Elephas maximus indicus: one gene and its partners. The protein of the gene in region 2 interacts with the protein of the main gene of each other region in a pairwise test. Links are inferred from orthologs where the notes say so. Each region holds a gene or a part of one and is shown on either strand. Other genes may lie near its edges. The genes, in order: ARFGAP3, SNCA, BCL2L1 and LAMP2.

Region 1 (6,975 bases), on a different chromosome or scaffold from region 2:
CCTTAGAAGCACAGGTGGTAGGGCTTTGTCTCACATACTTTGGACATATTAACAAGGACCAGTCCCTGGAGACGGACATCATGCTTGGTAAAGTGGAGGGTTGGCAAAAAAGACGAAGTCCCTCAAAAAGATGGATCGACATAGTGGCTGCAACAATGGGTTCAAGCATAATAATAGCGAGGATGGCACAGAACCAGACAGTGTTTTGCTCTGTTGTACATGGGGTCACTATGAATCGGAACTGACTCAACAGCACCTAACAACAACACTCTGCCTCTTGCAAACCGCCATGCAGCCCTTCTGTGTCCATCGTTCTCTAGTGTATCAGCTCCCTGAAGGCAGAAGCCGGGTCTTTTCTGACTCAACAGCACCTAACAACAACAATACACGCAGGTAGGTCCCCAGATGGCACAAGCAGTTTGCACTTGTCTGCTAACCAAGGTTGGCAGTTCGAACTCACTCAGCAATACCGTGGAAAAAAGGTCTGGCAACCTGCTTCTGTAAAGATTTTAAAAACCTGTTGCTATCGAGTCAATTCCAACTCATAGCAACCCTACTGAGCACAGTAGAATTGCCCCCGTAGGGTTTCCAAGGAGCAGCTGGTAGATTCTAACTGCCAACATTTTCGGTTAGCAGCCGAACTCTTAGCCACTGTGCCACCAGGTGCAGTTGTCAGGCACCTGGCTAGTAACCAAAAGATTGGTTGTTCAAGCCCACCAGCCTCTCCGCAGGAGAAAGACGTGGCAGTCTGCTTCCATAGAAATTACCACTTTGGAAACCCTATGGGGTAGTCCTACTCTGTCCTATCGGGTGACTATGAAACAGAACTGACCCGACTCTGGAGAGATTACAGCCAAGAAAACCCTACGGAGCAGTTCTACTCTGTGACACATGGGCTCATGATGTGTCTGAATCAACTCAACGGTGACTTTTTTTTTTTTTTTTAATATATGCAGGTACAGCTCTGAGTGCATTTCTTAGATTATCTCATTTAATTCTCACAATAACCCTTTGAGTCGCAATGAGCTCCTGCCCTCGTTTTCACATCAGGGAAATATTATACAAAGTGGCCAAGTAACTTGCCCAAGGGTAACAGAGCTAGAAAGTGGCAGAGTTTGAGTAATAATCTACAAGCAAGCCCACAGATGTCCCTCCAGAAGTATCTCTTAGGATAAAGACACTGACTTTATATTCTGAAGGGGCCGCCCTTCCTCTGATGAATTCAGCAAAAGAGAACACGTGTTGATCTGTTTCTGTGATAAAGGCGACAGAAAAAATTCTAGTCTCTACACTGTTCAGTGCAGATCCTAATCTTGCCTAGTTATACAGTAACCACTGTTTATAAACAGATCAATCCAAATTTGAAAATCAAGAAAATACCACAGAAGTGTGGCACTGGGGCTTTCTCCTCCTGGCTTTCCTATATCCGGCAGACATCACCCCCAATAAACTGTTTCCTACCTCCCTCCTCTGAGGCTGTAAAAATACGGGTGCTCCTCCATCATCAAGTAGCCCTGGTGGGCAATGGGTAAACACTTGGCTAATGAAAAGGTTGGCGGTTCGAATCCACCCAGCAGCTCTGAGGGAGAAAGACCTGGCAATCTGTTTCCACAAAGATCACATGCTAAAAAATCCTCAGGGGCAGTTCTACTCTGTAACACATGGGGTCGCTATGAGTGGGAATCAACTTGATGACATCCAACAACAACCACCACCATGAAGACTTAAAACCACCTGAATTTTGTAAAACTCTGGGATTTTCTATGCCATCATTTCCAGGCTCAGGACCAAGCTTGGTAACAGCTGTTCACTTGAGAGGTGGGAGTAGGGGTCTGGTAAAGGCCAGGGCCCTTGCAGGCCCTGTGGACAGAGGGACAGAGCTTCTGCCACTGGAGGGGTGGGGAGCATCCACGCTGACAGGGCAGCCCTTTGCACTCTGACCTGTGATCCTCCGCTGAGTGTGTCGGGTCACGTTCTCCAGATGCGTCATCACACCTCCAACCAGTTGCAAAAAGTTGTCAAAGTTTTAGCGGGGGCGGGGGGGGCGGAGGGAGAGGAAACAGCCTCTGAAGAAAAAAGAAAACCCCAATCTCCAAAGAGACCCAAACTGAGAAAAGTAAAGGGTTTGTGATCAACTTTCTTAGCAAAGGAGAAAAAAGCTGGAAACCATCGAAGAGACCACTCAGCAGCTTCGTCGGATAGGAAAACTGACCAAGGCTACCACTAGGGGACAGAGGGACTCACCCGGGCTCCCACAGGATGCGGAGGGGGCTAGTCGAGCTTTCCCCAGCACCCTGAGCTGCCAGCTGGGGTTTCTGAGGCTTGGGGTCACAGGCGGTCCCAGCGTCTAACCTCGGCTGGATCACAGGTGCCTCGTGATGTCCTCCCTCAGCCTTCTCTGGGGGGGTCCCAATATCCACCCTAATATCAGGAGCCCCCCAGTGCTTGCCCCCCAGGTGCTCACCCCCTGCCCTCTCAAGAGCTCACACGTGTCGACCTACCGGGCGCCCCCTCAGCATATGCTCCCGGCCTGGTGACAGGAGCCCCCAGGGGCCTGCCCCCCACCCGGTGACAGGAGCCCCCAGGGGCCTGCCCCCCACCCCAGGGGCCCCCAGGAGCCCCAGTGCCCGCCCCGCCCGGAGCCCTGGGCGTGAGCCCCCTCCCGGGCCCTCCTTGGTCCCGACAGGCGAGGCCCAGGCCGCCGCGGCCCCACAGTGCGACGTGTCACAGCCAGGCGGCTCCTCCTCCCCGCAGGGCCGCACGCGAGGTCCGGCAGGGATGCCCGGCAGGCCCCAGCACGCCCGGCGGCCCTACCTTATTAGTGGGCACCGAGCGGAGGCGCTTGAAGATGGTCAGGATGTCCTGCTTGCTGGGGTCCCCCATCGTCACCGGAGAGCCGGGGTGCTGCTGGCTCCGCCAACTCGGATGGGCTGAGGAGGAGCGGTTGCCGCCTCCCGGAGAAGGACGACGGCCGGGGGGCGGGGCTGAGCGTTACGGCCAGGCCCCGCCCCGGAAGGGCCCGCCCCGGCTCCGCCCCGGAAAGGCCCGCCCCGGCTCCGCCCACAAACGAGGCGCACGCGCCGCTCTCCGTCCCTGCGGGCCCCGGCCTTGCCGGACCCTGGCCCCGCCCCTCCTAAGCCCCGCCCCCGGCGCTGCCCGCGTGCGTGTGAGGGTGGCTCTCCTTCTCCCGCCTTTGCCAGCACTATCGCGGGCAGCTTCCCCCGGGGGTTGCTGGGCACCGAGCCCGGGTGGGGAGGTGCGACTGGCTCTGTTTGGGCTGGTTGGTCCTCATTCGACTGATGGAATACCTCCACGGCCAAGGTCTTCTCGCATCCTTCCCGCGAGGACAGCAGAGCCAGGCACTTCAAATGCCAAAGGAGGAAACTGAGGCAAAGGGCCTCCCCGCCTTCGGTCCCTGGCGCCAGACAGAGGACTGGAGCCTGAAGCCCACCCGGACCGCTGGCTTTTCCCTAGTCGCCTTGTTTTTTTCCTCCCCTCAGCTAAGGCTGAAGGAGCCCTGGTGGTGTAAAGGTTAAACGTTAGGCTGCTAACTGAAAGGTCAGCGGTTCGAACTCGCCAGCTGCTCCGCAGGAGAAAGACCTGGCAATCTGCTCTTATAAAGATTACAGTTTAGGAGACCCAATGCGGAAGTTCTGCTCTGCCACATGGGGTCACTGGGAGTCACAGTCTACTTAATAGCACCTAACAACAACGTCTGAGGCCGAGCCCTAGATGGGGAAGCTTTCTACCCTGGAAAACTGGTTTTCTTAAAGTTTACTTAATGGGTAGAATGTAGTCAAGAGACCAGTCCTCCCTGAAGCAAAAAGTACTCAAACTGAAGAGTGTAGACAGGAAAAGATGCTTGACTTTGAACCCCAGTGCCTCCTGGCCTACTTCTTCCCCTTTGGCTACTATTTCTAATTGTTGTTAGCTGTAGTGGACTCCCCCCAGCTCATGGTGACCCCATGCAGGCACAACTGGGCTGGACCATTGTTATCCATAGGGTTCCATTGACTGATTTTCAGAAACAGATGGCCAGGCCTTTTTTCCTAGTCTGTCTTTGTCTGGGAGCACTGCTGAAATCTGTTGAGCCTCATAGCATCATGCAAGCCTCCACCGATAGATGAGAGGTGGCTGCACTTGATGTGCACTGGCCAGGAATTGAACCGGGGTCTCCCGGATGGAAGGCGAGAATTCCATCACTGAACCACCACTGCCCTAGCTAGCTACAAGGGTTTAAACCCATGGAGGAGGTACCTCTTTTATAACAGTGGGTGTGGAGCTGCTAGAAAGGTGTTGCCTGAGGTTGGATGGTGCGGTGGAAGGGTAACAGGTTTGGAAGTCAAATATAATACCTTGGCTGCAGTCTCACTGCAGCCACTTTATAATGCTGTAAACTTGGTCAAAACACTTCACTTTTCTGAACTTTAAAACGCTCGTCTATACGATGGGTTTACAGATGAAGAATCAGTGCTGGGCAGCACAGGAGGGCAGCTTCCCAGTGAAGCCCTGGAAAAGCCTTTAGCAGTGGTCTTTCCACTTTTAGAAGCTGAGAGTGTTTACTCAACTCAAGATGTCTAGTTAGATACCGTGAGGAGAAGTTGGAAGCTTGTAGGGAATGGAAAGCCATAAAAATCCAGGTTTGGAACTTTTCCAAAGAAGGAAAATTTATTACCTTCCAGAACAACAATCAACTTTAGCAAACAACTCTGTTAGAAAGTTCTTCCTTATATTGAGTCAAGTCTGGACAGATGATAGATGTTGCTAAGGGTTTCTCCACCAAGATGGGGAAGGTATCAGGCCTTCTCTGGAAAGCAGTGTCCTAACACCTCATTTCTAGCCTGAATGAGCAGGAGAAGGAGCCTCTTTTAAAGGTACCAAAAGATAGTAAGGATTATAGAGAATGAGGGAAAAAAAAAAAAAAAACTAAAAGGATAGCCTGGAAGAATGAAACTGAGGACGAGGATGAGGCTTGAGCTCTGAGGGACAGTGCAAAGGAGGGCTCTGAAAGCAGAATCCAGGCAAACAGACAGGCCTACATGGCCTCTGGGTAATTATCCTTGTTATTTATCCCCCCCCCCCCCCCCGCCAAGGAGGGGCCCTGGTGGCTCAGTACTTAAGTGCTTGGCTACTAATGGAACCCACCAGTCGCTCCTCGGGAGAAAGGTGTGGCAGTCTGCTTTGGTAAAGATTTACAGCCTTGGAAACCCTATGGGGCAGTTCTGCTGTCCTATAGGGTCCTTATGAGTCTGAGGGATAGTAGAACGAAGGAGGGCTTTATTGTTATCATTTCATTTACTTTGTTATTGTTGAGAACACAACAGTAGAACATACCCCAATTCAACCATTTCTACATGTGCAATTCAGTGACATGGATTACATTCCTGGAGTTGTGCAACCAGTCTCACCCTCCTTTTCTGAGTTGTTCCTCCCTCATTAATGTAAATTCACTGCGCCCTGAAGTTCCCATCGAATCTTTCAAGTTGCTGTCGTCAATTTGATCCCATAGACCTAGGTCTCAAAGAGCATAATGCTCAAGGCAGATCTTTTTATACTAGTTAAGCTGAACTATTGTTTGGTTTTAAGATAGAAGACGGTTTTGAAAGAAGGGCCCAGACATATAGCCATGTCCCCACAGCCTCTGTGTAATTGCCCTGGGTATTTATCTTTTATGAAGGCAGCCTGGTAAGGCTGTGGCCAACCGAAAGGGCATTTTGCTTATTTAGTGCAATTACAGCGGAACGGGAGCTTGCTGAAAGCCAAATGCCACCCTAAGGAAAAGCTAGACATGTCTAGACAGTCATACGCTGCATCACAAAGTGCAGACAGGCAAAAGATCTTGACACTTGCCCCTTGCCCCTGGAGGACACCACCAGTGGACTTTAGTTAGGGCTGATGAGGACACAGTGAACTATCTCTTAGGCCCATCGTTTCTGTGCAGGTCGGGTCACCCCCAGCTGGAGGTCCTCCCTCCTCATCTGCCCCAGCCTGACTTCCTGCCCAGGTGGGAGTCAGGCAACCTGTTATGGGTTGAATCGTGTCCCCTAAAAATGTGTCAACTTGGCCATGATTTCCAGTGTTGTGATTGTCCACCATTTTGTGATCTGATGTGATTTTCCTGTGTTGTAAATCCTACCTTTATGATGTTAATGAGGCCTGCTTAGAGGTGTTATGTTAATGAGGCCAGACTCAATCTATAAGATTAGGTTGTGTTTTAAATCAATCTCTTTTGAGATATAAAAAGACAGAAGTGAGCAGAGAGACAGGGGGATCTCATACCACCAAGAAACAAAAGCCAGGAGAATAGTACACTCTTTGTACCTGGGGTCCCTGTGCTGAGAAACTCCCCAACCAGGGGAAGACTGATGACAAGGACCTTACCCAGAGCTGAATTTGGACTTCTAGCCTCCTAGACTGTGAGAGAATAAATTTCTCTTTGTGAAAACCATCCACTTATCGCATTTGTGTTATATAGCAGCCTAGATAACTAAGACATGCCCCTTCACTGAAGGGAAGGGTAACAGCTAAAGGAGCCCAGGGTTACCCCGCCCCTTAGGGCCTTGGGGAGTTGGGAGTCCCTTGTTTGTCCTCATTTCCTGAGACTTGTGGGCTGCGACCTCCAGAACCCAGCATACCCCCCTCATCAGCTCTCCTGCCCTTCCCTCCATCGGGCTCTGGGCTCCCACCCCGCGACAGGACTCCTGCTCTAAGCCCAGTTCTTCATGTTTGTCCTGGCACCATAGTTTCGCACACAGTAGGTGCTTAATAAACGCTTGGTAAATGCATGAGTCAGCCCACTGCAGGCCAGGGGCAGATAAACAGGAAGAGGGAGCCAGCCGATTCCCTGCCAGGAGGGGCTGCTCACGGGCCAGGCCTCCCTCAGCCCCCCAACCAGTTGCCCTGTGACAGTGGGCAAGCCTCTTCTTCCCCTCACTTGGCCTCAGTTTCCCCATGAGCAATGAGGGGGTTGGTTGG
Region 2 (7,980 bases):
AATTTTGATGAAAGGCATTCATAAAAATCATTCCAAGTATAATTTTTTTCCTGCTAATCTACACTGCATAAACAGCGTAGCTTTCTTTCTCCCTCCAGACACAGGATAGCACCAGTGTCATCTATGCCATCCAGTATAGTTATCCTCCACCTTACTACTCACCCCATGGTTACTGCTACTATAGCTGCTCCCAGATAATGTGGAAGAGTTAAAAGGAGAAAAGGAGAAAGAGAACAAAAAGAATGAGCAGAGTGGCTGAGTGTGGGAGTGTGTGTGTGTGTATCTATTCCTGTTATATCACAGCGCCTTCCCCAAAGAATTTGAAGTGGTTTGTAAAATAACACCCAACCTAACACAGTTCTAGATATAAATAAGGAAAAAAGATCAAGACTTCTGTATATATTCCAAGGTGGGAATTTAGGAACGAGTAGAAGTGGTAAGCATCAATCTCATTATTTAGTATGTGCCGTTTGAGAAATGTATTATATAGACGTTGCAGAGATATTAGCAGTAGTTCTCAACCACTTTCTCAGCCTACCAGATGGCTACAATACGTAACTCCACCGAAGACTAATCTGTCCTTTCCATTTTAGGGCCACAGTACGTCTTTTTTTATACATCACAGACCAAAACTGAACGAAACCCATTGCCATTGAGTCGATTCTGACTCATAGGAACCCTATAGGACAGAGTAGAACTGCCGCATAGGGTTTCCAAGGAGCTGCTGGTAGATTTGAACTGCCGACTTTTTTGGTTAATAGCCGAACACCTAACCATTCTGCAACCAGGGATCCAATATCTAAATCTTATTTAAAATCAGAATACATAAAAAATTAGGAAACATTATGATGATAAAAGAAATCAAAGACCTATGAATGATTTTGATTCCTAAGAATATTCTTGATTATTTTTTATAAGTCTCTGAATTTTAAAAACTTCATCTGAAGTACAGTCACTTATACACATGGGTCACCATGAGTCAGTACTGAATCAACAGCGACAGGTTTGTTTTTTTTTAATGCAGGGAGGCACTTATTTAAAAAAAAAAAAGGAACTAAAAAATCCTAAATATTATTATAAAATTGAATAATCAGGAAAAACAAAAGGTTATCTTCATTTTGTACTATTAGCCGAAATGCACACATTCCCCTACCCACACATACCTGTGACTCAGTGCATTCTCTTTGCAAGTGATGATGCAAAGATGAATCAAGCAAAAAAACAGCATTTAGAGCATCAACCATCCTAACCCATCAGTCATGGATAAATATTAAAATGACAGTCGGGGTTTACCTACCTACGTAGAGAACACCCTCTTTTGTCTTTCCTGCTGCTTCTGCCACACCCTGTTTGGTCTTTTCAGCAGCAGCCACTACTCCTTCCTTGGCCTTTGAAAGTCCTTTCATGAATACATCCATGGCTAATGAATTCCTTTACACCACCCTGGAGAACACAAAATACACTTTGAATGAGAACTTTTTGGTAAAACAAAACAAAATTAAAAGCACCCAAGGTAAAAACCACTGAGAAATCAGTAGAAATCCCAAAAGTGTGAGACACAAACTTTTAAGTGTATCCTCATTCCGATGGCTGAACAAAACAACACTTCTTTAGATTTTGCTTTAAAAATTTAGCGTCCCTCATCCACCTTGCCAGTAAAAGTCTGGCTGCCTAACATGGATTAGGATGGATCATCAGGACTGTTTCTACTGCATTTTGCAAGTGGAGTAGCATGAAAGGATGGACCCCTCTTCCAACTTCCTAGGATCCAACTCGTGACAGTTTAAGTTAGATGCATGTTTAGAAGAAAACCACAAGAAAAGAAAAGAAAAGGAGTTGTAGGTGTGCATTCAGAGGCATCCTAGAAATGAATCCCAGAATAGGACTGAAAGCTTGATCTTGGTGGAAAGAGGCGGGAAGAGAACTACCCACCCCCCACACCGGGTGTGGCTGTACCTCTGGACAGAAGCAGGCTTCCAGCCCTCCTAATCCACTGGACCATCCACCCCACTCTCTGCTATCTATCCAGTGCAGGCGCTGTTCACACCGGCTGGTGGTCTCCAGATTAGCGCCACCCGAGGGGCAGTTCTCCGCCCTAACCGGCCAGGGGACCCCGTGTCCAGTGGTGAAGGCTGGGCCTGCACCTGTTAACCCTTTAACACATGTCGACTTGTTCTTCTGGCACTTCCGTTTAATTTTTTTTTGCAAAATGCAGCTTGCTTACATTACAGGGAAAACAGAGAGGGTGGAGTGGAGGATTTAGGTAAGGGAGTAATAAAAGTTGGAAATTCATCCGTCCATTGAGCATTCTCGCCTTTCCCAAAGGAAAAGCGTATCCGGAGAATCAGCCTGATCTCTCAGCCTTTGGGGTGGGTAAGGAGAATATGGGAATCAGGTGGAAAGCCAAATCCACTTACTTTCCTCCAGCTCACCAAAAGCACAAATAACCACCGCCAAGAGACTTGGCACAGCCTGTCCTGACCGCAGCAGCAACCCCCCCGCCCTCCACCCCCAGGCGTCCTCATCTCCCACCAGATTTTCTCCAAGATTTCCAAAGCTCCTTGCCCCTTTAGCTCCACAGGTACTTACCTGAGCCCCTCTGCTCCTCCGAAACTCTGTTTCCTCCCCCTCTTTTTAAATTTAAGCAAATGTTATTGAAATGAGAACTGGGAGGAGAGAAGTGCCCAGGAAGGGCGGAGCAGCTCCAGGAGAGGGAGGGTCCCCCAAAGGAGGCTGCTGTCAGCACAACCTGGCGACGAGAGGCTGGGGACGTGGGAGGCGAACCCGCGAACCTGTCGTCAAATTACCACTCCCCGTCCCCCGCACAAGAGGATCCAAGAGAAAGACAAGGTCGGAAGGGAAGGCGGCGAGAGCTGGAGAAGGATGCTAAGGCGGGGCTGGGTCCCGAGGTCCGCTCTAAAGACAGCACACACCTCACTGTCCCGCCTCGCCTTTCACGGTCGCTCGCCCCCTCTCTCCGGCCCCCTTCAGGTCGTCGTGGTCTTGCTCCTCCTGCTCTTCTTCCTCCTTCTTCTGCGCTCACCGCCCCCTCAGCTGATTTGTCAGCGCCTCTCCCCGCCCCACTCCAGGCGCCCTCTGCTTTCCTTGCCTCGTGCGCTTCGCTCGTTTTCCTGGATGGAGGGTGGAGGGACGGAAGGGGGTGTCTTTCCAACTCCAGTCTCCCGCCTGGTCCTGGAGGCAGGAAGGTGGAATGTTCGGCGTGTCACCTCAAGTTCAGGGTCACGGGGGAGTCCTGTGGCGAGCGTGAGCGGTTAGGCTTTGGCTGATGTCTCTCCTGCTTTCCCACAGCCTCTCTTTCCTTGTCTCCTCCTTTCGCTCTGGTTCTTCGTGAGGACCCCTAGTCAGCGCCAACCCCTGGGAGCCAGAAGCAATCTCTCGAGGAGCTGCTGAAGGACTCAGATAGATTAGGATGGTGCTCATATACGTACCGACAAGAGCACATTTCTCTCCGATCGCTTAAATTTGGTAAACGGTCGCAGAATACAAAGTCAGAGGTCGATTTTGTTCAAATATCCTCCATCCTAACCTCGGATGAGTCCGAAAATGTCCTGCAGGTGGAGAGGAGACTAGTAAGGAAGAGTTACAGGTTGATGAGGCAGGAGGAAGCTCGACAAATCCTCTTCCCACCCCACTGTCACCATTTTCTTTTCCACCAATCAGAGGATGCCAGACGCCGGTTTTTTTCCCCATCTGTGGAATAAATATTCCCCAGCCGTCGAAAACAAGCAGTCAGTCTAAGGTTTTTCGCTCTCTAAATGGAATTTACTTTCCAGACCACCAAGCACCTGGATGAAGGAGACAAATCCAGTCTGGTTTTTCCCCCTGAACGATGATTCCAATTTCCCTTCGGCTGCTTGTAAGACCGAGACTCAGAAGCACTCAACTCATCTTTCTAACTTCAGATTCACTCTGCCCTCGAAGTTGACACTGAACCTCCCCTAGCCCCCTCTGGACAGACAGACGGACCGACAGACAGTCAGACACACACACACACGAACGCACGTGCTCGAGTTTCAAAACGTCTTTTTTTTTTTTTTTTTTTGCATCGCTTAACACATTTTCACCTCTTTCAGAGCTTGGGAGGAAACAGATGTTCCTGGATCGGACCAGAATAGAGAATCAAGCTCCTCCCTCTAGCAGAAGGCCTTTGCTTTCTTTTGCCTGGATTAGGAGAATGATTTCACAGCTTGAAGGAAAAAACAAGTCTTTGCTGTATGGCTTTTTGTTTGTTTATTTGTTTTATTTATTAAAGATGTTTTCGAGGATATATATATATAGGTGGACAGTGCAAATCCACCAGCCGCTCCTTGGAAACCCTAAGGGGCAGTTCTCCTCTTTCCTACACGGTCCCAATGGGTATACATACATACATATACATTTAAAAAAAATTTTTTTATGTGTCTACATATATATATTCAGTAGAAAAAAGTAGAGAGTGAAACTGAGGTCATAAATATTTATTGCTTAAATACCTCCTTGCACTATTGTTTTATCTTTTTTTTAAAGCAGGCTTTCCAAAAACAGTAGCTCATAATTTGTTTCCTTGGGATCAGAGAAAGAAGGTTGAACCTGGGAACTGGTTAAACCTTAAACAATTATTTTCTGCTTCTGTTCCCCGATGACTCTTTGGTAAATGAGAAAATGAACCCAAAAGATTCTGTTCTTTTCAATTTATTATTACGGAAAATGTTCAAACATATACAAAAGTAGAGTAGACTAAAGGACCCTCATGTGAATACCACACAACTTCCACATTTATACGCCTACACATGTTGTCACAAAGCTCCCTCTATTTGTAAGTAAATCCCAGATACTACAAGCATCTTTTCATCTGTAAATACTTCCACATACATCCATAAGGTGTAAGAACTACTTTAAAACAAGCACAATAGCATTTAGGTGATTTTTAAAATTTAAGTATAATTTAAATACAGTGAAAAGTGTCTCTTTAAATCAGCTCTGAAAAATTCATGTATTAGTATAACCCACAACATTCTGAAGACACAGAGCATTGCCATCACTCCAGAATGTTCCCTTGTGCCCTTTCTTATTTGTGCCTATGCTTGGATTTCATTACACAAAATCATAGAGTATGAGCTTTCCTTGTACCTGTCTGACTTCTCTCACTCAGCGTATTTGTGAGGTTTGTTCCTACTCAGTTGTTGCACGCGTCAGTAGTGTTTCTTATTGCTTTCCATTGCTTCTTTTTATTGTTGCCAATAATAAATGCTTTCCACTGTGACCTATCACAGCTGGAGCTGGCTCCCTTAAATATTATGATAATTATTTAATGTATTATTTCATAGGATTTCTTTATAAGTTAACAGGGACGTTCTTGAGACTCGGTGCCTTAAATCAAAGGGGTAACTAAAATGACAGCTATTTTAGGTCCCACAGCAGACCAATGGGAGATTTATTTTGGGGTAGTGGTTGTTTTTTTGCTTTTCATAAAATAACATGATTCCACACCTTTATATGGTACTTCATGCTCTGCAAAGGACTTTTGCCTGAATACACCACCATTTTTATCCATTCTTCCATGTTCATGTACTTTCTGGTTTTTTCCAGCTTGAGGCTGTTTAGAAAAATCAAATTAATCTCAGGTCAATTTTTTTATCAGTTCTGTTCCCCTCCATTCCACTTTTGTTCTGATACCAGCTACACATGCAGCATTTCCTCCTCGGACCCTAACCACCTGGATTTAGGTCAGACCTCACAAGTTATAGGGCACTGTTCTCCAGACTTCCAAGTCTGCCCAAGATTTTAGATGCCAGCTGCAAGCTTGGGAGTCCCCAGTGGCCCCCCCATCTTTTCTGACCTGCTATGTACAAATTCAGGGGTTCCCTTTACCCCTTCAGAATACCAGCCATAAGCTCAGGATTCCCAAGTCCCTTCGCTTCTGACTTAGTTTCTCCTAACTCAGATTCCATAATTTGCTAGAACAACTCATAGAACTCATGGAAAGCGTTATACTTGTATTACAGTTGTATTACAAGAAAAAGATACAAATAAAGAGATGCATAGGGTGAGGTCTGGGAGGGTTCTCAACTCGGAGCTTCCATGTCCCAAAAAGGGACTCACTATTCTCCCAAGTGTATTGACATCTTTCACCAATTAGGCAGTCACTGGAGCTGCCAAGTCCAGCATCAATTTTGGGACCTCAGTTAGTATGCATGATTGATTGATTCATGCCCTACCTCCGTAAAGTTGGCTGCTATCACGTGGTGGTCTTTCTAGCCTGTCTAGGTACCACCTGAGTCACCTCTTTAGCATAACTTGTCGGGTCTGGAGTTCTCTTCGATAAGAAAGATACTTCAATAACTGGAGAAATCCCAAGATTCTAGAGGTTATCTGTCAGGAACCAGAAAAAAAAAAAAAACCCAATGCCATCGAGTCGATTCCGACTCATAGCGACTCATAGGAACCAGAAAAAGATCAAATTATTTGAATGAAGTTAATGGAAACCTCAGTGGGGCTTGTCATGGATTGAATTGCATCTCCCCCAAAAATATATATCAACTTGGTGAGGCCATGATTTCCAGTACTGTGTGGTTGTCCTCCATTTTGTGATTGTAATTTTATGTTGAGAAGATTAGGGTGGGATTGTAACACCACTCTTACTCAGGTCACCTCCCTGATCCAAGGTAAAGGGAGTTTCCCTAGGGTGTGGCCTGCACCACGTTTTATCTCTCAAGAGATAAAAGGAAAGGGAAGCAAGCAGACAGTTGGAGACCTCGTACCACCAAGAGAGCAGCACCAGGAGCAGAGCGCATCCTTTGGATCCAAGGTCCCTGCGCCTGAGAAGCTCCTTGGCCAGGGGAAGTTTGAGGACAAGGACTCTTCCTCCAGAGCTGACAGAGAGAGAAAGCCTTCCCCTGGGGCCGACCCCCTGAATTTGGACTTGTAATCTACTAGACTGTGAGAAAATAAATTTCCCTTTGTTAAAGCCATCCACTTGTGGTATTTCTGTTATGGCAGCACTAGATAATTAAGACAGGGCTGTTACGAATAAAGTTGCTCTGAACATTCTTCTGCAAGTCTTTTTACTCTTGTTGTTGCTAGGTGCCATCAAGTTGGGTCCAATTCATAGTGACTGTATGTAAAACAGAGTGGAATAGAGCCTGGTCCTGTGACATCCTCACAGTCATTGCTATGTTTGATGCCATTGTTGCACCCACCATGTCAACTCATCTCATTGAAGGTCTTCCTCTACTTTACCAAACATGATGTCCTTCTCCAGGGTCTGGTCCCTCCTGATAACATGTCCAAAGTACATGAGATAAAGTCTCTCCATTCTCACTTTTAAGGAACATTCTATTCTGGCTGTAGTTCTTCCAAGACAGATTCGTTGATTCTTCTGGTAGTCGATGGTATATTCAATATTCTTTTTGTATGTGTATGTGTGTATACATATCTATAAAGTTCTCTTCAATAAATCTCGAGGAGTATAATTGCTATGGTAGGTGTTTGTTTAAGAAACTGTCAAATTGTTTACCAGTGTGGTTGTACCATTTTACGTTCATACAGCAATGAGTAAGAGTTCTGGTTGCTATATCCTCTCCAATATCTGAAGTTGTAAATATTTTTCATTTTTACACGTTCTAGTAGTTGTATAGTGGTATCTCATTATGGCATCTCAGTAAAATTTCTAGTTCAACGGTATCTCAGTAAAATTTCTAGGAGTTCAATGGTATCTCAGTAAAATGTCTAAGGATGCAGTAGTATGGGGCATGTTGAGGCATCATTTGTAAGTGAAGGATATGCTGTTGCATATGGCCCCTCCTACAACCAGCACAAAGGGGCACAATGCCTAGTGGGATTACGGAAGTAACATATTCCTTGCTTGGGTGTGCTACTCCAGTCCATTTACTGAGTGACCTGAGAAGCTGATAGTTTCGAATAGAGTCTAGAACAAAAGAAGGCTCTTTAATTGGTATAGGCTGCCATGCAAACTACTGT
Region 3 (7,173 bases), on a different chromosome or scaffold from region 2:
ACCCTGGCCGGAAAGCAACAGGCAGAGCAGCTGGAGCTCTCCAACCGACCCCAGGCAGTGAGGTGCAAAGTCCCCAGGCTTAATGCATGACACAGCAAGAGCTCCACAAACATACCACTCACGCAGAAAGTTGCACACTTAGGGGTGTGGTGCAAACAAAGGCTGGCACAGCCTACACTGCCCTAAAATAAGACAATCTTCAGCCATCCAACACGGTGGTGGAAAGTTTTGCCTGGCCATGCCCTATCCTGAGAGGAAAGTACCACACAAGGAAACTCCAAAATAAAGGGAACTTGTTTTGGGGATGGTTGACACCCTTGGGGGAGAAAAGATGGAGGGGTTTGTGGACCACTGATGCTCAGTCTCTTTTGCACGCATTATACTCATTACCTGTTTGGGTGGTGAACCATTGTGTCAGGGTGAGGAAACACTGGACTAACTTCCCACTTGCATAGGTTTTGACCTGAATGAACACATAGGCTATGTCTTCCTTCACTGAGGTACTGAAGCACAAGTATGAAAAAGTAGGGTCATGAAGATGACCAGAATGAAAGATGCCAGGTCCTTCAAGAACTAGGTCATCTGTATTTCCTAACAGTTAACTCCTTGTAGTGAAATGAGGCCAGTCACATCCCTGAACCAGCAACATCTCCAACCATCACCCAGCACAAGAGAAAGAGATACAAGGGAAAGGCTATTGAGGATCTCTCTGACCAGAGGCCAAAGAAATGGGACACACAAGGGGCGTGGTCCTTACCCAGCCGCCGTTCTCCTGGATCCAAGGCTCTAGGTGGTCATTCAGGTAAGTAGCCATCCAAGTTGCGATCCGACTCACCAATACCTGCATCTCCTTGTCTACGCTTTCCACGCACAGTGCCCCACCGAAGGAGAAAAAGGCCACAATGCGACCCCAGTTCACCCCATCCCGGAAGAGTTCGTTCACTACCTGCTCAAAGCTCTGATATGCTGTCCCTGGGGTGATGTGGAGCTGGGATGTCAGGTCACTGAATGCCCGCCGGTACCGCAGTTCGAACTCATCGCCTGCCTCCCTCAGAGCTTGCTTCACTGCTGCCATGGGGATCACCTCCCGGGCATCCAAGCTGCTGCTGTGGCCAGTAGCTCCATTCACCGCAGGGCTGTCTGCCAGGTGCCGGGATGGGTTGCCATTGATGGCACTGGGGATCTCCATCTCGGATTCAGTGCCTTCCGAGGCCCCAGTCCTATTCTCCTCCACATCACTAAACTGACTCCAACTGTATCCTTTCTGGGAAAGCTTGTAGGAGAGAAAGTCAACCACCAGCTCCCGGTTGCTCTGAGACATTTTTATAATAGGGATGGGCTCCACCAGTCCATTGTCCAAAACACCTGCTCACTCACTGAGTCTGTCTCTGTTAGTGGTTCTCCTCTGAGATCCAAAGCCAAGATAAGGTTCTGAAGGGAAAAAGCTTCAGGGGAAAAAAAAAATTAATATGTATGCCATCTCCCCACATCACATTCCCCCTCCGGGTACCAGAGCTGATTGTGTGGCTCTTATGACGGTCTGGGTCTAGCTTCCAGGAGACTTCGAAAAGTCAAATGGAAAGCCCCAGTGGGCTCTGAATCATCCACCAACCTCTTTCACTCTAGCCACCCCCTATTCTCTGAAAAGCCTTCCTCAGAAAGTCACCCTCACGGGCAGTCCCCCACACCACCTACATTCAAATCCGTTTCAGGCAGCGGCAGGCAGGTGCAGCCCCCGGAAGATCTTTTGTATCATAGGTCGCGAGGGGAGGTGGCGGCCGAGATGCCGGTAACTCAGCCGGCCTCGCGGCGGCTGGCAGAAAAAAAAAAAAAAAAACCAGCTCCAGCCGGAGGGCTCATGCGAGCCGGCAGGCTGGAAGCCCTGAAGGCGACACTGGAACCGCGGCGCTCAGGAACCGGCTCCCTCGCTCGCTTCCTCCTCCATCGCCCAGACCGAGGGCGGCCGCTCCGCCGCGGCGGCCTCCTTCCACCGGGAGCCCAGCCCCCTTGCTCTCGCACGCCCCTTGGCTCTCCGCCTCCTACCGGGAGCCAGGAGAACTCCCCCGGAGGCGGCTGCTGTGCCGTTTATTTATTTATTTATTTAAAGGACCAGCTCAGGGTGAAGCTTCTGAAACCCTGCAGGGACTTCTCAATGGGCTCAAGGTTTCGATGAGGGGAGGAGGAAGGAGGAAACAGCCTCGGATGCGCGATGTGGCTTCGGAAAGGCCATCCCCGGCCCTTTCCGGGAGGCTGAAGGCCGGGGGCCCCCCACAAACGCTGCTGGTTTTCTTTGAATTCCCCAATGGCCCTGGACGTGGCGGTGGTAGTAGGGGATTGCCCGGTCCTCCATTCCCCGCCCGGACACAATGGCCGCCGGCGCCGTGCACAAAGACCGGGTGACGGTGAGGCGCCCGGCTTCTCGGGTCGGAAAGTGGGGTCGAGGGCCGTTCGAGGCCCCCCACAGCCGAGACCACGTTTTCCTGGGGACAGGCCCACGGCGGTTTCCTGCCGCCCCCGGGAGGGCTGAGGGGCCGGGGGGGCTGCACCTCCGAAGCCCGGAGTGGGTGGGCTGCGGCCTCGCGGCTTCTCCAACAAGCTAGGCCGGGTACCCGCCAGGCCACCGCCCTGTTGCTAGGCAACCTTCTTTCCTCAGGGGCTCCCCCTAGACCTTTCTGGGAGGAGGGGTCTCGCCCCTGGCGGCCGCCCTACCGTAGCCAATCAGCGAGCCCAATAGGCACGGGCGCGGGACGGCGAGGGCTCCCATTGGGCGCAGCGCCTGTCACGCGCAGGGGAGGCGGTGCTCTCACCTGCGAGACCCGCGAGGCGTGGGGGGCCACATCCCCCTTCATGGGCCTGGTAGTTTCCAGACACGGGAGCTCTTCGCGACTGACTTCCGTGCCGCGGACCAGGGCCCGCCTACCTGGCTGACTGCTCTTGCCGTCTCTTCCCAACAAGCCGGCCTCAGTTTCCCCTGAAGAGACCGGGGGAACTTGCAAGCTCAGTCACTTCCGGTGCTGCGGCAGCGCGCGCGAGCCCGAGACGCAAAGGGAGTGCGCGCTTTAAATGACTGGCGTCAAGGCGTGGGAGAGAGCGCCCTCTTACGGAACATCTGGGGAATTCGAAGCCTTAAATCAACATTTACATTCACACATTCATTTATTCATTCCGTCTCTTTCATCAACCTGTTAATTTGTATGTCGAGAAAGCGTCACATTGTGGCTGAAAACAGAAGCCCTGATGGCGCAGTGGTTAAGCAATCTGCTGTTAACCGAAGTATTGGCAGTTGGAACCCACCAGCCGCTCTGCGGCTCCGCAGGACAAAGACGTGACAGTCAGCTTCCTAAAGATTTACAGTCTTGGAAACCGTATGGGGCTGGGGCTGTTCTACTGTGTCCTATAGGGTCGCTATGAATTGGAAACGACTAGCCGGCAATGGATGTGGCTGAGAAACTTATCTCTGGGGTTCCGACTTTGCCACTTGGACAAGTTACTCAGCTGCTCTGTTCCTCAGTTCCCTCACCTGTGAATTGGGTAATAGTACCGACTTTCTACGTAGGGTTATTGTGAGGATTAAGAGAATTATTATTTGTAAAGTCCGGAGAACAGTGTGTATACCATAGTATGTGCTGTGTAAGTTTATTCAACAAATACTGTTTGGGTTGCTGAAGATAGAGTTAGGAACAAGACAGATACAGCCCGTTTTCCTGGAGGCTTAAACCATTTTTTTTTTAAACCATAGAGATGGAGAAAGACAGTAAGCAACTAAGAAAATACACAAACAAGATAATTTCAAATAGTGATTGGTACTAGGAAGAAAATAAATTCGGGGTATTGTCATAAAGAGGGCCAAGGAAGAGAAGAGGTGCTGTTTTAGACAGGGTGGTCAGGGGAGAGGCATTTATTCACAATTATTTATGTAGGGTAGCTAGGGATTGCCTCTTTGAAGAGAAGACGTTGAACCCAAGACTAGGAGGATAAGAAAGTGCCAGCCTATCCGAAGAGGCTGGAGAACATCAACCTAGGCAGAAGGATAGCATGTGCAAATGTCCCGAGGCAGGAAGATCTCCACACATGCCAGAAGCTGAAAGTGAAGCAGTATGGCTGGAGAGTAGTGAGAGAAGGGTATAGTGTGAGAGGAGATTAAAGTTAATCACGGAAATGAGTTGGAATTGATTCTAAGCATGGAAAGGTATGTTAATTGATTAAAAATAGGTATATAGGAACACTGAGTATTAAAAATGTACAAAAGCACGTGAATGAAAAGCAAGTCCTCTTTTCACCCCTGCTTTCAAGTCCCTGGTTCCCCTCACAGAGGCTATCACCTTTTCCCATGTAGCCTTTCAAAGATGGTTGCTATATTCAGGAGCTTATTTATATGTATAAATGTTTTACACAAACAGTAGCATGCTACACACACTTATACACCTTGTTTTTTTTCACTGAGCTCTACATTTTGAAACTGCCTCAAGTTTTTAAATTAATGCACAACTTTATAAAGACATGCTATAATTTATTTGCTCAAGCTCCTATTTAGGAACATTTAGATAGACTCCGCAGGCTGCCAGAAGAATGAACAAATCTGTCTTGGAAGAAGTATAACTAGAACGCTCCTTAAAAACGAGGATGGTGAGACTTGGTCTCACGTACTTTGGACATGTTACCAGGAGGGACTAGTCCCTGGAGGAGGACATCATGCTTGGCAGGAGGACATGAAGCACTTACTGATGAAGATCAAAGACTACAGTCTTCACTATGGATTATAACTGAAAAAAAAAAAAGAAGCCCATTACTGTCAAGTTGATTCTGACTCATAGCAACCCTATAGGACAGTAGAACTGACCTATGGAGTTTCCAAGGAGCACCTAGTGGATTCGAACTAATGACCTTTTGGTTAGCAGCCGTAGCACCTAACCACTAGGCCACCAGGGTTTGGATTATTCCTCAACATAAACACAAAACACAAAAATAAGTAACATCATGATAAACAGAAAAGATTGAAGTTGTCAAGGATTTCATTTTACTTGGATTCACAATCAACACCCATGGAAGCAGCAGTCAAGAAATCAAATGACATATTGCATTGGGCAAATCTGCTGCAAAAGACCTCTTTAAAGTGTCAAAAAAGCAAAGATATCACTTTGAGGACTAAAGTGCACCTGACCCAAGCCATGGTATTTTCAATCGCCTCATATGCTTGCAAAAGCTGGACAATGAACAAGGAAGCCCGAAAAAGAGTTGATGCCTTTGAATTTTGGTGTTGGCAAAGAATACTGACTATACCATGGACTGCCAGAAGAATGAACAAATCTGTCTTGGAAGAAGTACAGTCGGAATGTTTCTTGGAAGTGAGGATGGAGAGACTTACTTTGGACATGTTACCAGGAGGAACCAGACCCTGGAGAAGGATATCATGCTTAGTAGAGGATCAGCAAAAGAGAGGAAGACCCTCAACAAGATGGACTGACACAGTGGCTGCAACAATGAGCTCAAACATAGCAATGATCGTGAGGATAGTGCAGGGTTTCGTTCTGTCGCACGTAGGGTCGCTGTGAGTCGGAAAAGACTCGACAGCAGCTAAGAACAACAGGTAGATTCCAATCTTTTGCTATTACGAATAATGCTGTCACTGGTCCATTCATTATTCTGCATATGTGGGAGTTTGTCTGCAAGGTAAATTCTTGGAAGTGAATTACCAGGTAAATGAGTAAATGTATTTTTTTCTTGCTTTTAATGGCTATTGGCAAACTGTTCTATACAGCAGTTGTACCAGGTTACTCTTCCATCAGTCAAGTATCATACTGCCTATTTCCTCACACCCTGGCCTACACAGTGTGATACCAAACCTTTTGATCCTTGCAAATTGGATAGGTAAAAATTGAGAGGTACTTTTATTTTTCAGTCCCTTTATTATAAGTGAAGTTGAGCAATTTTTCATATTTTCGAGCGATTTTTTTGGACTTGTGTTGGTAAATTCTCTGTTCATATCATTTGCCCCCTTTTCAGTGGGTCTTGCTGTTGAACTTTTCCCTCATTGATTTATAGGGGTTTTTATCCCTTTTCCCCCATATGTATGAGTTGCAAATATTTTTCTGGTTTTATTACTTATTACCATGAAAAAACTTTTAGCTTCTATATGTTTTATCAATCTTTTTCTTTGGGGCTTCTGGGTTCTGTGTTATACTTAGAAAGGCCTTCTCCAGTTCAATTTTATAGAAAGAATTCTACATGTTGTAGTTTTACATGGCTTCATATTTTACATTAAAATTTTTTTTCCACTGTAAATTCACTTTGGCATAAAGTGTGAGTAAGGATCCAGAATTTTTCCCCCAAATAACTACCCAGTTAGTTGTCAACACCATGTATGGTCCCATCTTTTCCCATTCATTTGAAATGTTTCCATTATCATAAATTACATTCCAATGTGTATTTGGGTCAATTTCTGAGCTTTCTATTCTGTTCCATGGGAGGCTTTTAAGCTGGGGCAGGACATGATCTCATTTACATTTTTAAAATCCGTGGCGTCACAACAATTTCTATGTTACGAGTACCATTCTGGGTGGTGCCAAGAGTTAATGAGCTTGGCTGCTAAGCGACCAGTTGGTGGTTTGAGTCTTCCCAGAGGCGCCTTGCAAGAAAGGCCTGGTGATCTACTTCTGAAAAAAATCAGCCATTGAAAACCTTATGGAGCAGAGTTCTACTCTGAGACACATAGGGTCGCCAGGAGTTGGAATCAACTAGACAGCAGCTGGTTTTAAGTGTGCTACGGGAGTCGCTATGAGTCGGAATTGACTCGATGGCACTGGGTTTGGTTTTGGTTTTATGGGAGCCCAGCAGAGGGTGGGATCAACTGTGCCCCGAGGTGCAGGCTCTGTTGAGCGATCCCTGAAACGAGAGTAGAATTTTGTCTGAGAGAGAAAGGACATTAAGAGCATTTCAGGCAGAAGTCACAACAGTTGGACACAAAAGCCCGCAATGTGTCCTAGGAATAAACTGGGATGCTTGAGAGGGGAACAGTGGTAGAGGAGATTGAAGGTAAATGTGTGGCCACATGTACAGGTCACTAAGTAGCAGCCAGGTTTTTTTAAACAAGGAAAGGACATGAAGAGATTTATATTTTGGAAAGATAGAATACATCGTGCTAAGGTCTCTGTAATCCTCCCAGACGGTTAAGCA
Region 4 (6,851 bases), on a different chromosome or scaffold from region 2:
TAACCTCTTAGTTTTGTTCTGAGAATAGTTTTGCTCTCACAGACCCCATAAAAAGATCTTTGAGAATCATGGGATTAGATAATCAAGAACCCTTCCAATGCTATGGTTCTAGGGCAGGGTTTCTCAACCTCAGCATTACCGCCATTTTGAGTGGGATAATTCTTTGTGTGGGGGGGGCGGGCTGGTCTGTGCATGTAGGATGTCTAGCAGCATTCCTAGCCTCTACCTACTAGATGCCAGAAGCCATCCCCACCCCAGTTATGACCACTCAAAACGCTTTGAGATATTGCCAACTATCCCCTGGTTGAGAAGCACTGTTGTAGGGTGTTGATTTGATCCTATAGAAATGTGAATTACAAATTGTATTCCTCTCACTGCCTTCTCAGACCCCTAATATGCCTGTTTCTTCCCCACTCCCATCTCAGTCTGTTCCTTCTGTTCTTTTATTATTTCACAGATAGCAAGAGCCAGTGGGTAGCAACAAGCATGGGATGATCCAGTCGGGAAGAGATATTCTGGTCAAAGTTCACTTTTCAGGCCTTAGAGCTATTAGGGCACCACTTAGAGGCACAGCACAATCAGCCAACATTCACCCAGTCATTCTTAGGACCTGGTAACAACTCAGTCCTTAGGAAGCTACCTATCCTCCCTCCCAAAAAACAAACAAACCAAAGTAATAGGCTACTTATGGGTTCAGGGAGAAGAAAAAAAGAGGCTCGGAAGGCAAGGAGGTAGTATACAAGATGCAAATATACCACCCGCAAAACCTCACATTTGGGAGATTCTCCCCAAGTGAAGCATCTGGGGGATTTCTTTGTCAGGGTCTGGCTGGGAGGAAGGAGCAAAAATGGTAGAAAAACAACATCCTCAATACATCCAAATCAGAAATTCACTCCCCACTTCCTCCTTTAGTCTCCCGAAGTTGGGTCCAAGTTTCTTGCCTCAAAATTGCCCCAACCACCTTAGGTTCCTTCATCCTCAAAACTCTACCTATATGTAACCAAACACCTCATGGGATTTGGTTCCTTGGATTAGAGGTTTAGGGTCATGGTTTCATGAAACATCCCAGCTAACTGGCCTAATAACATGATTAGTGCTTCTGTTCTACCTCCTAGTTCGTTGTGTAGTGCCTGGGGTCTTAAAAGCTTGCAAGTGCCATCCAAGGCACAACAATTGGTCTCCATTCACCTGGAGCAATAGAGGAAGTAGGAGAGTCAAGAATAGGAAAAGGATATGGGATATGTGGCTAATTGCCTACATGAACCACTGCCTCCTTTGCCAGGAGATCAGAAGAACTGGATGATGCCCGGATACCATTACTGAATATTTTGATCAAAGATTCTATAGCAGGATCCCGATCAAAAGGGGGGAAAATACAGAACAGAATTCCAAATTCTCATGGACTCCAGACTTTCTGGAGCAATGGAAGTTGGATGAGCCCCTGAAACTATTGCCCTGAGATAATCTTTAAAGCTTAAACCCAAAATACCCCCTGAAGTCTTAAAACCAAACAACAGTTTAGCTTAACTAGTAAAAAAAAAAAAAAAGGCCTGCCTTGAGCAATATGCTCTTTTAAGAACTATCTATACAGGATCAAAGTGACAACAGCAACTCAAAAGATTAGACAGGAACCTTGGGGGCGGTGAGTTCACCTTAATGAAGGAAGAACAACTCAGAAAAGGAGGGTGAGAATGGTTGCACAACTTGAAGAATGCAATCAATGTCACTAAATTATACATGCAGAAACTGTTGAATTGGTATATGTTTAGTAAGTATATTCTCAATAACAACAACAAAATAAAATTTAGAAAAAAATAACGACAACAAGAAAAAACAAATGAGAAAAGTTTCATATAATGCTGGGGAACAGTTTCTAGAATATAGATTTTTAACTAAAAAAGCGAAGTGCAGAATTGTGCACATAGTTTGCTATTATTTCTTTTTTTAAAAAAAACTATTCTACCTATGCAGGAGCCCTGGTGGTGAAGTGGTTAAGAGCTCAACTCCACGGCAATGGGTTTCATTTGGGTTTTTGGTTATACATATGCATAAAATATCTCTGAAGTAATAACAAGCAGCTAGTAACAATGGTTGCCTCTGGGTTGCTGGAGGACCGACAGGGAAGGGAGACTTAATTTTCCTGTATATCTTTTTATAACTTTTATATTTTTCCTACTAAATTTTCACCTCCTGATAATTTTGTACAATGTTATGAATTAGCTGTTCAAAGGCAAATTTAAAAAATTTAAAAAATGTGATACTACAAAAAAAAAAAACGCTCTGATTACCAAACTTAAACCCAGCATCATTCCTCAGCTCCTTCCTTCATGGCCTCAAATTCCTACCTACAAATACCATTCCACTCCCCTCCCTACTCCTGAGACTGAATCCTCAGATCTGTCCCCTACCTAAGCTTTTCCCCCAAACTTCTCCATGCAGGCTCAGTCTCTTCCCTCTGCAATTTTCTCACCCACTCCATAGTTTCGCTACCATCTCCCAAACTCGCCCCTGCTCCTGGGAAACCAGGATTTTCCTCTCCAAATTGTCTCTACCACCCCTTAATCTGCAGGAACCGCCCTCCTACGCGCACTCCTCAGTATCCTTCCAAGTTATTCTTTCTACCCCGACCTCCTCCCCTCCTCACTCTTCTCTACCCACTCCCTCGGCGTCCACCAGCCCCCCCTTATTGCCCCATCCTACTCTCCTGGGCCCATCTTCCCCACCACCCCTCGGTCAGGCCTACTCTAGGTTACTGTTCGCCTCCCCGGGCCTGCCGCCGCCGCTCAGTGTCAGCTCGTCAGCCCCTCCAACCCCGCCCCGCCGACCAGTCTTTCAAGTTTGTAGCCTTTGAAGTGACGCCCCGCCGGGCCTAGGCTGGGAGCCTAAGCCGGCGGGCCTGACAACTCACCCAGGACGACGCAAAGCAGAACCAGCCCCAAGCCCGGAACCGGGGAGAGGCGGAGGCCTCGGTACATCATGATACCGCAAACCAAGAGGCGGCGGCGGCGGCGGCGGCGACAAGAGCAGCAACACCAAGGAAGCTGCTCGTTGGGACTTGGGTAACAGCTCCGGTGACCACTGACCACGACGCTGCCAGAGCCAGGAATCAGCGCTTAAGCGCGAGTCATAAGACTCAGGGCAGGGCTCTTTCTTGCCTTCAGCCAATCCCCGCTCTAGAAAGCGTCGAGAAGGGGCGGTGGGGTAGGGCCGGGGGGCGGGGCGATGAAGCCCTGGCTTTTTGGTTCACAACCATTCTTAAGTTCATAAGAGATGTGCGCGGACGGCCTTTTTTAAAACCATAGCGAGAGGATAAACTTTTTTTTTTGCAGGAGGGGGCGGGGTGTAGATAGTAGAGATTATTTCAGTTATGGCTCCTTGAGAAAGAAGAGAATGATTTTGCTGGGATAAAAACGGTGGCCAGGCATCTCAACGTAATACATATGAGTTGGAATCGACTGGACGGCAGTGGGTTTTTGGTTGTATTGAGCACGCACTTAGTACCTATGCAGATCATGCTATTAATGGACAAGTAAGCTAGAGGGTAGTAATGAGTCCCTGACCACCAAAGCAGGACATGACCTTTAAATTCATCTACTTGCAACATCCTTGTGTTTCAGTTGGGAGAACTGAACCCAAAAAGAGGAAGAGCCTTTTTTAAATACAGGAAAAAAAAAATAAAGAAAAAGAAAATAGAAGGATAAAGGGGAAAAAATTAAGATCTTCCATAATCCCACTACCTGGAGAGAAACACTGTTAACATCCTGAGAAATATATATACATACATATGTATAGAAACCCTGGTGGCCTAGTGGTTAAGAGCTACGGCTGCTAACCATAAAGGTTGGCAGTTCAAATCCACCAGGCGCTTCTTAGAAACCGTACGGGGCAGTTCTACTCTGTCCTATAAGGTCGATAAAGTCGCTATCAGTCAGAATCGACTCAATGGCAACCGGTTTGGTTTTTTGGTTTATACACACATATATATATATATCTCAAAATACATGTATATACACATGTAAATTTTTAATGAGACCATACTGAACTCACTGTTTGATATACTTGACAGGTAAACGGATGAAACCTAAAGTCTTCAACAAATGAAAGCATCCGAAAACCTCAAGCTGGAATAAAGTACTGATTCTCAAATGTTATTTTCCAAAAGAATCACCTGGGGCTTTTTAAAGACACACAGGTTCCTTGGCATCATCCCCCAGAGATCCTGAAACAGTAGGTATGTAGTAGTCCTAGGGATCTCTTTTTAAACAAGCACACCAAGTGGTTCTCATTCCTATCACCCATAGACCACACTTTGAGAAACACTGAAATACAGCTTCAAAACCATCTTGTCCTGGGGATTTTAATTGCCTCTGTGAATGGACTTGGGAGGAGGGTCTTTGACTTCCCAGAAGTTGCATGCAACATTTATGTACGTTTATTTTTATGGGGGAGGTTTCTAGCTTTCATGAGTTCTCAGATGGGACCTGTAACTCTCTACCTCCCCCACACTCAAATATTAAGAATCACTAATGTACCCTTTTGGAGCCCTGGTGCCACAGTGGTTAAGAGCTCAACCTCTGACCAGTTCCAATCCATCGAATGCTCCTTGGAAACCCTATGAGGCAGTTCTACTCTGTCCTATAGGGTTTCTATGAGTCGAATCGCCTCGATGGCAATGTTTTTTTGTTTTTGATCTACCCTCACTATAGTTTGTTTTAATATAATTAATTCCTGAAAGTGAGAACACTTGGCAATGTATGTCTTCTGTCATAGAAGAAACTGAGTCATGAGTAAATGACTTGCCCAATACAGGACTAATATTCACTACAACTTTAGGCACTGCCTTTAGCAAAAGGTCCTTTAATGCCTCACCATTAATAAGAAGTGACATTTTGAGATGGTAATTGTTACGGATCGAATTGTTTCCCCAAAAAAGATAGGTTGAAGTTCTAACCCCTGTTCCTATGAATGTGGCCTTGTTTGTGTTGTTAGGTCCCATTGAGTTGAATCTGACTTACAGCGACCCTATGTAGGACACAATGAAATACTGCCAGGTCCAGTGGCATCCTCACAATCGTTACTATGTTTGAGCCCACTGTTGCAGCAACTGTGTCCATCCTTCTTGTTGAGGGTCTTCTTTTTCCCTGACCCTCTACTTTACCAAGCATGATGTCCTTCTCCCGGGACATGTCCAAAGTACATGAGGCAAAGTCTTGCCATCCTTGCTTCTAAGGAGCATTCTCACTCTACTTCTTCCAACACAGATTTGTTCATTCTTCTGGAAGTCCGTGGTTTATTTAAGATGCTTCACCAACACCATAATTCAAATGCATTAATTCTTCTTTTTTGTGTTTTTTTTTTGTTGTTGTTGTTGTTATCCAGCTTTTGCATGCATATGAGGCAATTGAAAATACCGTGGCTTGAGCCAGGTGCACCTTAGTCCTTGTTTATAAATAGGGTTATCCTTTTGTTATCAATTAATAAAGTCATACCACAGTAGGGTGGGTCCTATCCCCTTCTGAATGATGTCTTAATACAAGGGGAAAACAGACATGGAGACAGGGAGAAGACACCATGTGAAGATACATCAGCAAACAGCAAAGGAATGCTAAGGATTGCCAGCAACCATTAGAACCTAGAGAGAGGCATGGAACAGTCACTCTCTCAGAACCCTCAGGAGGAATCAACACAATCAATACCTGGACTTCTAGCCCTCAGAACTGTAAGACAATGGATCCCTGTTCTTAAACCCTTTCAAGACCCATAGGACAAATTTTATCCCACCTACTTTTTAGGTCTCTGGAGTTCTTTGGAAAGGGGATAGCCCAATTTTAACGCCTTTATCCTTAAGGTGGGAGCCTTTTGAAATGCGTGAAACTCAAAAATCCCGAGTGGAAGCCTCGTTTTTGTGTAGATTGAGCATTGTGTTAGGGTGATGCCTTTCAATTGTGTGAATTTTCTAAACTTTTGACAGGTTTGCCTTTATTTCTGTGAGATAAGCCTCCTCTTCACTATGTTTCCCACTTGCTATGTTCTCATGAGAATGTACTTATTGCGACAATAAGCTGTTGCCAGTCTTCATCCATAGTGGCCATTTCTCCTTCATGCCATTCATTGTTTCCAGGTGTTACTGGCTTCCATCTTTTCTAGCTTCTGAACAGTAAATAATGCCTTTCCAATAAGGAATAATGCGTTGAAGTGGTACTTTTTAAGAGATTGGAACTCCTGTAAATTATTCCTACTCTGCATTCAGTCTTAGGGTCCAGTCATTGCTTCCACATGTAGCAGGTGGCATGCACCACTGTGAGCAGTTCTGCAGTATTCCAGGGCAGCTGTTTCTGCTTCTTAGCTGTTAGTACTGCTTTTGTATTAATGAGAATACACAGTAGTAGTAATTTTCCTGAGATTCAAATTCTGTTAGTTTTATTTATTTGGCCTATTAATACTTCTTTTGCAGTAATGAAGAAAGCATTGCAGTGGTAATTTTCTTGATATAAAAAGTCCCTTGGCTTTATTTATTTGGGCTGTAAGTACTGCTTTTGCAGTAAAGAAGAATGCATTGTACCATGTTTTGAAAAATGTTTCATGAAAAATAATAAAAAGGCTAAGAAGATGGAGACTAGAATAAAATGTATGTGCAGTCATTACCAGGTCCCTTCATGTTTTACCTCATGTTTTGCAAATTTTCAAGAAAAAAAATTAAAAAAACAAATTTTATCACTCTCTTAATTTTCTAAGATTAAATCTTATGCAACATTTTGTAATAGAGGCAGATCTACACATTGGTCTGGGGTTGGTGTTTGAGGAACTCCTTGACATCCCTCTCTCAAGTCTGTTGTTGATACTGCTGGGTC

Evidence for each region.
Region 1: the proteins of SNCA (region 2) and ARFGAP3 interact in binary tests that used the Homo sapiens proteins (3 or more experiments, as listed by UniProt). The link is inferred for Elephas maximus indicus from reciprocal best matches to the Homo sapiens genes SNCA and ARFGAP3.
Region 3: the proteins of SNCA (region 2) and BCL2L1 interact in binary tests that used the Homo sapiens proteins (3 or more experiments, as listed by UniProt). The link is inferred for Elephas maximus indicus from reciprocal best matches to the Homo sapiens genes SNCA and BCL2L1.
Region 4: the proteins of SNCA (region 2) and LAMP2 interact in binary tests that used the Homo sapiens proteins (3 or more experiments, as listed by UniProt). The link is inferred for Elephas maximus indicus from reciprocal best matches to the Homo sapiens genes SNCA and LAMP2.

Annotation. Positions count from the first base shown.
Region 1 is NC_064822.1:187,129,726-187,136,700, forward strand, and holds the start of ARFGAP3 (ADP-ribosylation factor GTPase-activating protein 3), read right to left. Parts: upstream 3,010-6,975; 5' UTR 2,884-3,009; coding exon 2,815-2,883; intron 1-2,814.
Region 2 is NC_064823.1:65,339,805-65,347,784, reverse strand, and holds the start of SNCA (alpha-synuclein), read right to left. Parts: upstream 3,021-7,980; 5' UTR 2,934-3,020; intron 2,907-2,933; exon of another isoform or gene 2,590-2,906; intron 1,444-2,589; 5' UTR 1,419-1,443; coding exon 1,298-1,418; intron 1-1,297. UniProt on the Homo sapiens protein: Neuronal protein that plays several roles in synaptic activity such as regulation of synaptic vesicle trafficking and subsequent neurotransmitter release.
Region 3 is NC_064843.1:37,711,892-37,719,064, reverse strand, and holds the start of BCL2L1 (bcl-2-like protein 1), read right to left. Parts: upstream 3,016-7,173; 5' UTR 2,808-3,015; intron 2,742-2,807; exon of another isoform or gene 1,696-2,741; intron 1,446-1,695; 5' UTR 1,322-1,445; coding exon 758-1,321; intron 1-757. UniProt on the Homo sapiens protein: Potent inhibitor of cell death. Inhibits activation of caspases. Appears to regulate cell death by blocking the voltage-dependent anion channel (VDAC) by binding to it and preventing the release of the caspase activator, CYC1, from the mitochondrial membrane.
Region 4 is NC_064846.1:36,116,115-36,122,965, reverse strand, and holds the start of LAMP2 (lysosome-associated membrane glycoprotein 2), read right to left. Parts: upstream 3,007-6,851; 5' UTR 2,979-3,006; coding exon 2,909-2,978; intron 1-2,908. UniProt on the Homo sapiens protein: Lysosomal membrane glycoprotein which plays an important role in lysosome biogenesis, lysosomal pH regulation and autophagy.